Linked DNA regions of Xenopus tropicalis. The protein of the gene in region 1 interacts with the protein of each later gene in a biochemical or structural test. Links are inferred from orthologs where the notes say so. Each region holds a gene or a part of one and is shown in the gene's direction. Other genes may lie near its edges.

Region 1 (4,277 bases):
ATGGGGAACAGGGCATCACAGCTGGGTGGGGGAGGGATTCCCCTATAGTTAACCCACTGGTTCTCCTAGTGCACCCTGACTTGTGTGGTTCTAACCGAGGGGCGTTCTAGGGGGACCCCATGTGCTGCACACCCAGCAGGGTTGGACTGGGGGGTGCAGGGCCCACCGGGGCTCCCGCCCCAGGGGCCCTGCAAGTGCCCCAGCCGCGTCCCCTAACCCCCCCAGGGGCCCCCCTAACCCCCCCGCCTGACGTCCTCCCCGAGCGCGTATAAATTGAACGCGTCAGGGGAGGAACAGTCAGTAGGGGGAGCGCCGGCAAAGGTCGGACTGGGCCCACTAGGGCGGCCCAGTCCGACCCTGGCACCCAGTGTTGGACCAGCCAACCATGATACCAGGAAAACTCCCGCTGGGCCCAGGGGTCAGTGGGCCTTCCTGCTCCTGACCATTTGGCCTGTTTCATGGTCATTCCCTATTTCTGAATGGGAAGAAAGAGAAGGAATAGATGGAAGAATAGATGCTAGCATGTAAATAAAACAGACTAGGAGAATAAAATGGTTGTGAAGAAAGGAGGATATTTTGGAGAATGGGCCCATGGTCTTAGGTTCTCTGGTGGGCCCCTGGGGTCCCAGTGCGCACCTCTGCCGCTTCCGAATTCAGCATATATATTGTGTCATGCACAGCTCTCTAGAATGGCACCCCGGTGAGCAAATAACACTGAGCTAAACAGCACAATAATGGTAGCCTCAGTGAGGGGCAGTGCCTGAGGAGCTGTATGAGGCGAGGGGCAGGTGCATGCCAGGGTACTGGGGAGTTGTACTGCTCCCTCCTCTCACATTCTTTGGATGCCTCAAGCTGCTCATTAATCTCCAGTGCAAAGTCCCCATGCTGAATGCACTAATTGCTCACTATTATAAACACTGCTGCCATCATCAACCCCCCCACCCCTCCCCTCACTGGCACAGCTCCACCCTGCTGCCTGAGGTGCTGCAATAATACTCTATGTTCTGTCATACTCAGTTGGGTCAGTCTATGTACAGGTTTATAGATGCTGCTTGGATGTCAAATGACCCATTAAAGTGGTTTCACTGACAGCAGACATGTAAAGATGCCACCTGTGCCTATGGGCCGTATTATATTCCCCGGGTCACATGACTCGGCGGCACTGATTAAACTTTACTCTGAGGGCCCGAATCCCGCGTAAGCTCATTGGAATAGGCGCGCCTCTCTCTGAACTTTCTCCTCCAATCACGTCCCTCGGCAATACTGTCCCCGCCCTCTTATTGGACATCTCTCATATTTGTCACCGCCGCGCCCTCCCTTTCGCTATATAATCTATAAGCTGGCAGAGCCTGAGTTCAGTCAGGCGCAGAGTAGCGGCTCGATATGGCTTCGGAGCGGGTGTGCGTGTTGGAAAAGGGGGATTCGGGCTACGGGTTTCATCTGCACAGTGAGAAGACCCGGCCGGGCCAGTATGTGAGGCTGGTGGAGCCTGGCTCAGCAGCTGAGAAAGCAGGACTGAGGGCAGGGGACCGGCTCATCCGGGTGTGCGGGGAGGATGTGAGGGAACTCGGGCACCAGCAGGTGGTGAGCAAAATCCGGGCAGCGACTGAGAAACTCACCTTGGAGGTACAGGGAGTAGAGGAGGAGGTGGCCCCCAGCTCCCCTAAAGAAGAAAACAAGGTACTCGGCTCAGAGCGAATTATGGGGGCAGCCTGGCGAGCCCACTGCACCTGGTCACATGACTTGCCTACTGGAGTCCTGCTGATAATAGCTTCCCCTTCAGTATGGGGGGGTCGGGGCAGTTTGCTGGCTTTATACGTAGTATCCTACCCCTGCTAAGTGATGCCATGCAGTGCCAGGGTATATACTGCTCTTGCTAGAGTTTCTAATGCTGAACTTGTGTTTGCATAGTGGATAATGTACCCCCTATTGTAAAATATAAGGATATTATAAGTCAGAGAGGAGTTCCTTATAATATATAGTGACTAAAGTACCCCCTATTGTAACATATAGGGATATTATAAGTCCCTGAGGAGTTCCTTATAATATATAGTGAATAAAGTACCCCCTATTGTAACATATATGGATTTTATAAGCCCCTGAGGAGTTCCTTATAATATATAGTGAATAAAGTACCCCCTATTGTAACATATAGGGATATTATAAGTCACAGAGGGGTTCCTTATAATATATAGTGAATAAAGTCCCCCCTATTGTAACATAGGGATATTATAAGTCACAGAGGGGTTCCTTATAATATATGGTGAATAAAGTACCCCCTATTGTAACATATAGGGATTTTATAAGTCACAGAGGGGTTCCTTATAATATATAGTGAATAATGTACCCCCTATTGGAACATATAGGGATATTATAAGTCACAGAGGAGTTCCTTATATAGTGAATAAAGTACCCCCTATTGTAACATATAGGGATTTTATAAGTCACAGAGGGGTTCCTTATAATATATAGTGAATAAAGTGCCCCCTATTGTAACATATAGGGATATTATAAGTCACAGAGGAGTTCCTTATATAGTGAATAAAGTACCCCCTATTGTAACATATAGGGATTTTATAAGTCACAGAGGGGTTCCTTATAATATATAGTGAATAAAGTGCCCCCTATTGTAACATATAGGGATTTTATAAGTCACAGAGGGGTTCCTTATAATATATAGTGAATAATGTACCCCCTATTGGAACATATAGGGATATTATAAGTCACAGAGGAGTTCCTTATAATATATAGTGAATAATGTACCCCCCTATTGTAAAATATAAGGATATTATAAGTCACAGAGGAGTTCCTTTACTATATAAAAGCATGAGCTGAAGGCTGACTTGTAATATCCTCATATTTTACAACAGGGGGCACTTTATTATAATATCCAAGTTTTAGTGATTTGTGTGACAGAAATTACATCACTGAGCTCTGATTATAACTGATGACATCACTAGGCACCGTTTATAAGGATCCCATAGGGGAGTGATCAAACTGTAAATTATAAAGATATAATCAAAGAGCCATGATTTCCTGTAAAATGGGTTCTTCTACGTGGTGCATAGTGATGTCATCAGTTATCTTTAATTTTAATGATGTAATTTGTCATATGACTCACTGTGTCTATAAAAACCGTACCACTATTATATAATATGATATTAGAAGTCACCATTTGTTCCATGACCAATAGAACGCCTTGTGGTTTTAGACTGGTCATGGAATGCCAACAACCATTGACCTCATGTCCTTATATCAGTGATCCTCAACCAGTGGCTCAGGGGCAACTTGTTGCTCCCCAACCCCTTGGATGTTGCTCCCAGTGGCCTTCAAACAGGGGCTTATTTTTGAATTCCTGGCTTGGGGGCAAGTTTTGGAGGCATAAAAAACAGGTGTACTGCCAAACAGAGCCTCCTGTAAGCTGCCAGTCCATATAGGGGCTACCAAATAGCCAATCACAGCCCTTATTTGGCACCCCTAGGAACAGGTTTCATGCTCGTGTTGCTCCCCAAGTCTTTTTACATTTGAATGTGGCTCACAGGTAAAAAAGGTTTGGGACACCTGCCTTATATGGATCTCTTTAACTTTTAATATCCTTATAATTTACAATTGGGGGTACGCTATTCTCCGTTTAGTGGATCGGCCACACACGGCAGCCAAGCTGATGATGGATGCCGCTGTCATTAGTGGGAAGCAAACTATGGGCCAGAGAGTAATCGGGACCCCACAGGGTATAAGTTCCAGGAAAGGCTTCTAGGAAGGGACTTTATAACAGAGGCTCGGCTGTCTCGGCACAACTATTCTAGATACAAAGTCAGTTGCAGCTCAACAAGCTTTTTGCCCCTGGGCCTTGCCAGCACTAAAGACAGCCCTGGCATGGCACCGCTCCAGTCTGGTGTGGCAGCTTCAGCTGGGTACCTGAGTGCCTCAGTTGCCTGGCATGAATCCTAGACTTGGGTATTTAATTCTTTCTATAGAGAAGGGTATATAGTACCCTATGTGTTGGTGGTGGTGGAGCTGTGCCATTATCCTGGATTGGCATCAATTACCAGCCTATGTACCAATCAGAACCCCCCCCCTCCTCCTCCAAGTAGAACTGACATATGTTTCTGAGTAATGCCCACTTTATCTAGACCAATGATCCCCAACCAGTGGCTTGGGGCAACATGTTGCTCCCCAACCCCTTGGGTGTTGCTCTCAGTGCCCCCAAACCAGGGAGTTATTTTTGAATTCCTGACTTGGGGGCAAGTTTTGGTTGAAATAAAAATAAGATTTCC
Region 2 (4,313 bases), on another chromosome or scaffold:
CTTTTGGGGTCTCTGTGTGGCACATTTCTTTTTGTTTTGTAATACTATGCATATCGGACATCAAACAGAATTCAGAAGACCCCTGGCATTCACATTAAGGATGTTTTCTTTTGTACATAAAGATATGCGGGGCATTTGATGCTGGAGAATTCAAGCTTTGAGACACTTTTCAAAACTTTCATCAAAAGTCTAGAAAAGGTTTGCATTTTGTTAGTTTATGGTAAAAAAAACATACTTATTGATTTTGAATTGAAATATACGGTTTCTGGGGTCCTCTTTTATTTGGGGGTCTTATAAAACAGAAATACAGTATTCACCCATTTTAGAATAATCAGATTATGTATATTTTGGCATGGGATTATGGATAAGAATTTATACGATAGATAATGTTATGGGAAATATCATTAAGGGCGAAGACAGACGGAGCTACTTAGTAGCAGCTACTTGTCACGGCTACAAAATGCCAGAAAATACCCTGTCATAGACAATAGAATTGTCTCTGCTAAAACACACGTAAAGACAATTTTCAGTAAATTATCAGCATTGTCTATTTTTGTAGCCGTGACAAGTAGCTGCTAGAAAAACTCTGAATGTCTTTACCCTAAGAAAAAATCCTTACAAAACTCTCCTAAACAAAGCAATTAAAAGCTTATCCAACTCTCAATATAAACTGATCATCATATTCAATTAATAGCAAAATCATGGCGTACTATGAAGTTGGATTTTGCAGTGATAAAAACCAATATAGATAATATTATTGTGATGGAAAAATTATAGTAGGATGGCCTGGCCAAAATCCGCTCCCACTTGACACCCCTTTAAGAAAAGGGAAAGTTGAACCAAGTTATTACACATTATTAGATATTATTTTATTAATTTTGTTTTGATGTTTTTCTTCTATTTTATTTTTTAGTATTGGCTGTTACAATCTTTATTATACAAGGCAATATATGGCCTGATTAAAGCTGCCTATGGACCAAGTCAGCAGCTTATTGCCCATGTGTGGGGCCCTCAGACAGGCCTACTGGACCCATATCTGACCAAAATTTGGCCAGATGTTGATTGGGCAGGTTTAAAATTCCTGTCGGTGAAGTGGTCCTCGTCCTATTGACCTACATCCCGTCATTAAGTTCAATGCTTTTTTTAGATTATTCCTTCTGACATCCAGATGATCAGTTTAAAGAATGGCATGAAAAATTCCAGTTGGGCTGTGGCAAAGCTTTTCTTAAACAGGAAGGGAACAATCCAAGCTGTATATTCACTATGAGATTCCATTCAAACAGAACAGCGCTCCTAACAACAGAAACATCAGTCTCATGTTCAGATAAATGGAGCAGGCTCATGAAAGAAGTTAAAGTGGTTAAAATTTAACCAAGATTGAGATGCACCTCAAGAGGATAGAGAGCAGTGTGGGCGGGGGGCGACTTTTAACCTGCTGATTCATACTGATAGTAGTGCTCCTAATAGTATATAACATTATTATTCCTCAGCACAATCCCAAGGCAGGTGGATCCCGTGAGATTCCGTCTGAGTTACCAGCATGTCTAAAGCTTTGGATTCATATTGTGGCTCTATTTTCTGGGTGAGTTGAGTGCTTAATATTCCTAGTTATTATCATTGTCTATGGCTATAATATGGAAGGTGTTGGTTGGTGAATAAGGTGGTTGTTGCTGGATATAAATGGGATAAACATGCTCATGTGATACTCCCGTTCTTTTTTTAGTACATATAGTGGGTCAATGATCTTTGAGCAGGGTACAATAAATTTAGGCTTGAAGTGTATGAGTGATGTGTATTATGAGAACTTAATAAATCCTGTGTAGGTATTTCACTGCTTAGTTCTATTATCCAGACTCCTTAGGGTGTAGGGGTTAAATATTTCTACCAAAAGACAGATGTAAGATGAAATAATGTATTCAATGGCTCTTGAAAACAATATAAATGTGCTTTTTGGTTAGTTAATTGATCTATTATATGATTAATTTTTGTATTCTGACGGTCTGTCTATAATTATCTGTCTGTCAGATCTGTCTATCATTATCTATACATATATTTATTTATATACATGTGGCTACCCTCAACCTCAGGGCAGGATCATCCTCCAGTCATTAGGAATCATTGTCAGGATGGTTCTAGCCAGGGACCCATGTATCAACATATACCTTTAGGGCTAAGGTCCCACATAGAGATTAGTCACCCCCGATAGATCTCTGCTACAGCGCACAACTAATCTCTCTGTGGGACATTTTCATTTTCCCCCTTGTGTGTTTTTTAATAAGTGAGTATAGTTTTTTTCCCCCTTTGCTTTTATCCCTATCCACCTCAGCTTGCAGTGTTAGCCTTTCTAAACCTTTCAGGCTAGCTGGTCACAACCTTCCTTCTATCACCCCCTTTAGATCTCCTATTATGCTGTAATCCCACAAAAAGTTGTCCAACAGAGCATGTCCCCTTGAATTGCTTGTTGACTGTATAGACTGATACCTCAAATAATGCCAGTATAAGTAGTGCCCCATACTATGCTCAAATAATATATGGTAACATTGAAACAGAAGATCCCATTTAATCTACCCTTTATCTGATTAGCTTCTTGGTATATCTTTATGCAAAACCATGCCTTTTTTCAGTATAGATATATGAAATGTGCTATCAAACATAACAATACAGTGTGTATGGGTCAGTTCAGCAGGGGGTTGCGATATATAGTAACCAGTGGAAGTGAGTACTCCAGTGTAAATAAAGCACAGAATCCTCAGTTCCAATCATGGAATTGTTCAACAGCGATATCAGCACAGTAGTATGATCCCTCACTCAAGTGGCCAAGGTGCAAATGCTCCTAGCCTGTAACTTGTAACCATAACAACGAGTCCTCGTTTTAATACCATGTGTTATTAAAGCCTCACCTTGCAAGAATCTGCGTCAGTTTACTGTTCTTGTAATAACTAGCCCTTATCTTAAAGGGGATGAATTCCCCAGTATTAAAAATGAGCCAAATAAATAGGATTTTGCTTTTTCTTAATTTGTTTATAGAACACCACAAATGGAGAATCAATGCGCTCATGCTGAACTTTTGCAATAGAGAGAGGTAATCATATGGGCCTATGCTTCCTATTAAAGGGACTGTAACACCAAGAGATGATAGTGTTTTATATGCATTGAAATATAATGTACTGTTGCCCTGCACTGGTGCAACTGGTGTGTTTGCCTCAGAAACACTGCTATAGTTTATATAAATAAGCTGCTATATAACAATGTAAGCAGCTATTCAGGCTGAATAAGGCAAAAAAGGCAAAGGTTACACAGCAGATCACAGATAAGCTGTATATTATACAATGTGTTTAGTTGTTTCACAGGAAGTTAAACAGAAATTAAATGCAGTTCATGGCTCTCTGAAGGACTATAAAATGAAAACCTTTTTCATATAAAATATTTGTTGCCAACAAATAGTTAATTCGTAGTTGTTGGTTAAACAGATACAGATTTTATGTGTAACATTACTGCTCCTATAAGCATGTTGGAATAATATGCGTGTGATCAGTCTGAATTCCCAAGAGGAGGAATAATGGCTTGGAACCCAAACTATTCCAGAACAACTTCTGATTAACTCACGTGATGCCAGATATATGCCTGACACTATGATCTAAAAGCAGTTTATATGGTTGATGACCTATACCTCTGAAGAACCTCTTGAGCCAATGTTTGAATCGGAATTATCATGATTACGGAAGAGTTCTGATTGTGAGGTGTTCTACTTGTGAGGTGTCTATCTGCAAAGGCTTTTCCAGTCTTTTCCAGGCCAATTTAAGGCCATTAATGCAGCACAATAGTGTCCCAAGACATGACACATATATGTTATGGACCTTGTTTTATGGCAATATACACTTTAAGTTTGGAGGATATTGAGGATATGTTTCTTCTTTACCCACCTATTTAATGTTTGGACTTGTTTGTCTGTGCACAGCCCTATAATATCAGGTCACACAAACTGGCCACAAGACCAGGCCCTAGGTTAACTTCTTGTAAAAGGATTTTAAGACCACAGAAGGGAGGTGGCACAGTGTCTGTAAAAAACTCTAAAGGGAAGATACATATCTTTCAGAATGCTCTATCAGAGAGGTTCTCAACCTGTGGGTCGCGACCCCTTTGGGGGGTCGAACGACCCTTTCACAGGGATCGCCTAAGACCATCGGAAAACACATATTTCCAATAGTCTTAGGAATAATTTTATGGTTGGGGGTCACCACAATACGAGGAACTGTATTAAAGGGTCGAGAAGGTTGAGAACCATTGCTCTGTCAGACCCAGCACATGAGGAG
Region 3 (4,392 bases), on another chromosome or scaffold:
GACTTCCAGGGTCCATCTTTTGTCCACCACCAAGCCGGACTGGAGGCAGGAAGTGCTGCTTATAGTAGGGGGAGTAAAGCAAGATGAGCCTTTTTTTTGCTATTAAACTCCCAGCACCCAATGACCGTTGAATACGGGGGGGAATTCTTTAGTGTTCTGGGACCTGTAGTTCAACAACAGCTGAAAGGCCTGCCGAGTGAGTTTTTTGGGCCACATCACCACAAAAGCTACTACGGCAATGGGGTGATCTAAGTAGCCCCTTGCCCCCCTGGTACCACTAATATGTGCCAAAAGCAAAACTCTCACTTAATAATTACCTAGGTGGCAAGTTATTTCAGTACACTCACATACAATATAGCAGCTCTATTTTCTCTGTACTTTTTGCAAGTTTACTCTGCACTGAAGAAGAATTTGAACATATCTTTTATGACAGCTGTAGATACAATTACTATACATAGTCCGAAGGTTTATTGCCGACTTCTTTTCTTCCCATACATACAGTATATGCCCATGGGCTCTGCTCTTGGCTGCAGTGCAACAATTAGAAGAAAGCAGAGGTGCAACAATTAGCAGTATGGGGCCACCATAGTCTTCACCCTCCCTGCTCTGATTATTGCTTTGCCCTTGGGAATGGGTTAGCTGGTTGCAGCATGCCTTCATAGCTGCAACTCTGTACATAAATTACAGTTCTGACTGTTTTTAGTGTTTAAATGATTGACGTTGTTTCCTATTCTGTTCACTGCCCTTACCCATTAGCGCATAGTGCCACAATAGCCTCTGCAATGCAGAATAGGTGTTGCACAGATATCAGATACACTGGGCAAAAGAATGACAAGAAATAAATCATAAATAAAATACAAGTAGTAGCTGGTTATGTGACGCTTAAGGGTGAAGACACACAGAGCTACTAGTATATATACTAAAGTAGACAATGCTGATCATTTACTGATAATTGGCTGTACCTGTGTTTTAGCAGAGGCAATTCTCAGTATTGTCCATGGGAGGGTATTTTCTGGCGTTTAGTAGCTGTGAAAAAGAAGCTGCGACTAGTAGCTCTGTGTGTCTTCACCCTAAAGCAGGGGGATATGTAACACAAGCTATCCAACTAATCAATGGTGGGAATTGTACCTAAACATCAAACTTTGGACATAGCTAAACATCTGCCAATCGCAGAAAGAGTCCAGTAATGTCCAGTCAGCCCCAGTAGCTGTAGAATTCGAACTCTCGGGGGATACCAGGGGCTGTACTTGTACATCAGCAACTGATTAGATGCACTGCCGTGCAACTTCGAGCCCACCCTGCTTAAAGCCTGTAAGTGGCACCGTTTGATCCGCCGTGCAGTATAGCGCAGTATAGCGCAGCTAACTATTAGCGCAGGCAACTTCCGAAAGGAAAAGAGAAAGGCAGCGACCAGCCGGTGTTACGCGGTATCCCGCTCTTGCTCTCCGGGGATTGGCTGGAGCCCGTTGTGACGTAAGGGCGGGTGTTAATAAAAGAAAGCAGGCGAGCCCACAGCCCAGAATCAGAAGAGACTCTCAGGAGAGAGAGGTAGTTCCATGTCTAACGCCCCACAAACAGGACGGGCACAAATGAACGACACCGGGCAACTCCGCCTCCCCCATGGCTAAATGCGCTGGATATACGCGGGGCAGGAGTACTTTCAGCGCTGCGTGTCACACCCAACCGACTCCTAACAAGTGGAAGTAAAGTCAAAGGGACTGCAAAGCTATGGAACAGCGGGTCACCGCCAGCCCCTACCCTAACAGCACCCTCGAACAGCTGGTCTCCAACGTCTCCAACACTAGCAACGCCAGCGATAAGCCCGGGGATGCGTGGATGGTGGGCATGGGCATAATCATGTCTTGCATCGTGTTGGTGATTGTGCTCGGCAACGTGTTGGTGATCACTGCCATAGCCAAGTTCCAGAGGCTGCAGACGGTCACCAACTACTTCATCACGTCTTTAGCCTGTGCGGACCTGCTGATGGGGCTGATAGTGGTGCCCTTCGGAGCGAGTTCCATCATCCTGGACACTTGGGTTTTCAATAACTTCTGGTGCGAGTTCTGGACATCAGTGGATATCCTTTGCGTCACTGCCAGCATAGAGACCCTTTGCGTCATTGCAGTGGATAGGTACTTCGCCATTACCTCTCCATTCAGGTATCAGAGCCTCCTGACCAAGTGCAAAGCCAGGATTGTCATCCTGCTGGTGTGGGTGGTGTCCACACTTACCTCTTTCCTCCCCATCTACATGCACTGGTATAGGATAGAGGAGGAGAGTGCCTTGCATTGCTATGATGACCCCTCCTGTTGTTTTTTCTTCACCAACCCTGCTTATGCCATCTCCTCTTCCATCATCTCCTTCTACTTACCTCTGGTGGTCATGATTTTTGTCTACGCAAGGGTCTTCCAGGAGGCCAAAAAACAACTAAAGAAAATAGACAAAAGCGAGGGAAGGTTCCACAACCAGAATAACCAACAGGACACCAATGGTAAGCAAGGAAATAAAAGGACCTCAAAGTTTTGGTTGAAGGAGCACAAGGCACTGAAGACTTTGGGGATAATAATGGGCACTTTTACTTTGTGTTGGCTCCCCTTTTTTATAGTCAACATTGTCCAGGTGATGCACAAAGACTTTATCCCTGTCAAAGTTTACAACTTCTTGAACTGGGTGGGATATGTCAACTCTGCCTTTAACCCGTTAATCTACTGCAGGAGCCCAGATTTCAGATACACTTTTCAGGAGCTGCTGTGCTTAAGGAAACCGGGCTCCAAAGCCTATGCCAATGGGTACCCCCAGAGCAATGGGAACAGTGCATACAACGAAGACACAGAACCTTGTCAGTATTCTAAAGACAGGACTTGTGAAGTTTTATTTAAAGAGGAGAAAACTCCCAATCCCTCCCTTTTGAACTGTGAAGGTACTCTTCTAGATTTTAGCTTGGAACCACTGGGCAAGAATCATAACACGCATGATTGCTTATTATAGGATTGTCGATTTTTTTTTAATATTTGAACTATTACAACAAACTGGATTATTGCAATACAAGGGTCAACCAGATATCCGAATGTATAATACAAAGGAAAATGTTTTTATATGTATATTATATATGTATATTTTGCAGAAGGGCAGTGCCCATGTCTTGCAGAATGTATAAATTTATTATGAGAAAATGTACATTTCTGTCTATTTTCAGTTCCTCTTAAATTAAGGTAAGAGATCTTTTGTTATAATGTAATGGCTTTTATATTTTTATGTTGCTGCCCTGTGTACTTTACTGAAGAAAAATCTACCTCAAACCCTTAAAAAAAAATTGAATTCTAAGTTCAAGAATTCTGAAACTTAAAAAAAAAAAATCTTGCTTTTTCCCCCCTTTTCTACCCCTTAATAATACAAAAAACAGCTGCTGTTGGCGGAAGGGACAGGGTTAATTCTACTTTCCTTGAGATAGCTCTCCTGAGTAATGATGGGGTTAATGTGCTGAGCTTAATATTTTGAACTTTTGAAATTGCAAAAGTTGGGTTGTGAGAGATAGGAAAACGTATATTCTGTATAAGACTGATGAAAACTGTGTGTTGCAACCAGGAGAGACCCTTGGGGGTCATTCAGCATAGGTGCAAAAAGGCACAATTGCAGTAACCTATAGCAACCAGCTTTGGTTGGTCGTGTTTTGCAAGCTGCTGTGAAACCATGTAAAATAATATCAGAATAGTTGCTATAGTTACCACCATTGTGTACTTTTGCACCTGTAAATAAATTCTTTTTTTTCATGGTTTCTCAGGGAGGAAATGCAGTAAAAAAAAAAAAAAAAGTCGCAGAGCTAACTCAATACATTTCCAGCCACCCTTTTAGGTTTGTGCCAATCTTTGCATTCCCCTTTAACCCCTCTGTTGCAGGTTGGAAAGTGGCACTTTTTATAAGCAATTTGACATTTGCAGTGACTGTCACGTATACTGGAGCCTCTAACCAAAAGTGTATTTTAAGGATAGAAGGGTTAAAGGTCTAACTTAGTTCATCTAATTTTAGCAGTGAAGTCCAAAGTTGAGTGGAGGACCCATCCCCTTCTTGATGGCAAACTAATCTGTTTTTTCGGTGAGCCCAGCCTCCTAGATCCCTATTTGCGAGATAAATGAGTCCTTGTCTCCTAGATGGGGCAGAACAGATGTTCCTACTGCTGTTCTGTAGTGTCTGATCTCTGGCTGAAACCAAGTCCTGTCAGGGTAATTAATCAGTTATCTCTGGGTTATGAGCAAAATATGGGGCTTTCCAGATGTGACTGCACTACAGTGCTCAGCAGTTGCCCATGACAGTGGTAGGATTCTGAGAGTTGTAGTTCAGCAGCACTTAAAGACAAGCTTGCGGGTTGTTTCCTCTTGTCTCTTCAATGATTCT

Evidence for each region. The genes of interacting proteins can lie anywhere in the genome.
Region 2: the proteins of slc9a3r1 (region 1) and abcc2 form a complex in vitro, tested with the Homo sapiens proteins (2 studies listed by BioGRID). The link is inferred for Xenopus tropicalis from reciprocal best matches to the Homo sapiens genes NHERF1 and ABCC2.
Region 3: the proteins of slc9a3r1 (region 1) and adrb2 form a complex in vitro, tested with the Homo sapiens proteins (3 studies listed by BioGRID and IntAct, with this or other methods). The link is inferred for Xenopus tropicalis from reciprocal best matches to the Homo sapiens genes NHERF1 and ADRB2.

Annotation. Positions count from the first base shown.
Region 1 is NC_030686.2:43,959,088-43,963,364, forward strand, and holds the start of slc9a3r1 (Na(+)/H(+) exchange regulatory cofactor NHE-RF1), read left to right. Parts: upstream 1-1,364; 5' UTR 1,365-1,383; coding exon 1,384-1,680; intron 1,681-4,277. UniProt on the Homo sapiens protein: Scaffold protein that connects plasma membrane proteins with members of the ezrin/moesin/radixin family and thereby helps to link them to the actin cytoskeleton and to regulate their surface expression. Necessary for recycling of internalized ADRB2.
Region 2 is NC_030683.2:35,437,830-35,442,142, forward strand, and holds the start of abcc2 (canalicular multispecific organic anion transporter 1), read left to right. Parts: upstream 1-1,439; 5' UTR 1,440-1,540; coding exon 1,541-1,582; intron 1,583-4,313. UniProt on the Homo sapiens protein: ATP-dependent transporter of the ATP-binding cassette (ABC) family that binds and hydrolyzes ATP to enable active transport of various substrates including many drugs, toxicants and endogenous compound across cell membranes.
Region 3 is NC_030679.2:41,027,432-41,031,823, reverse strand, and holds the start of adrb2 (beta-2 adrenergic receptor), read left to right. Parts: upstream 1-1,518; 5' UTR 1,519-1,728; coding exon 1,729-2,988; 3' UTR 2,989-4,392. UniProt on the Homo sapiens protein: Beta-adrenergic receptors mediate the catecholamine-induced activation of adenylate cyclase through the action of G proteins. The beta-2-adrenergic receptor binds epinephrine with an approximately 30-fold greater affinity than it does norepinephrine.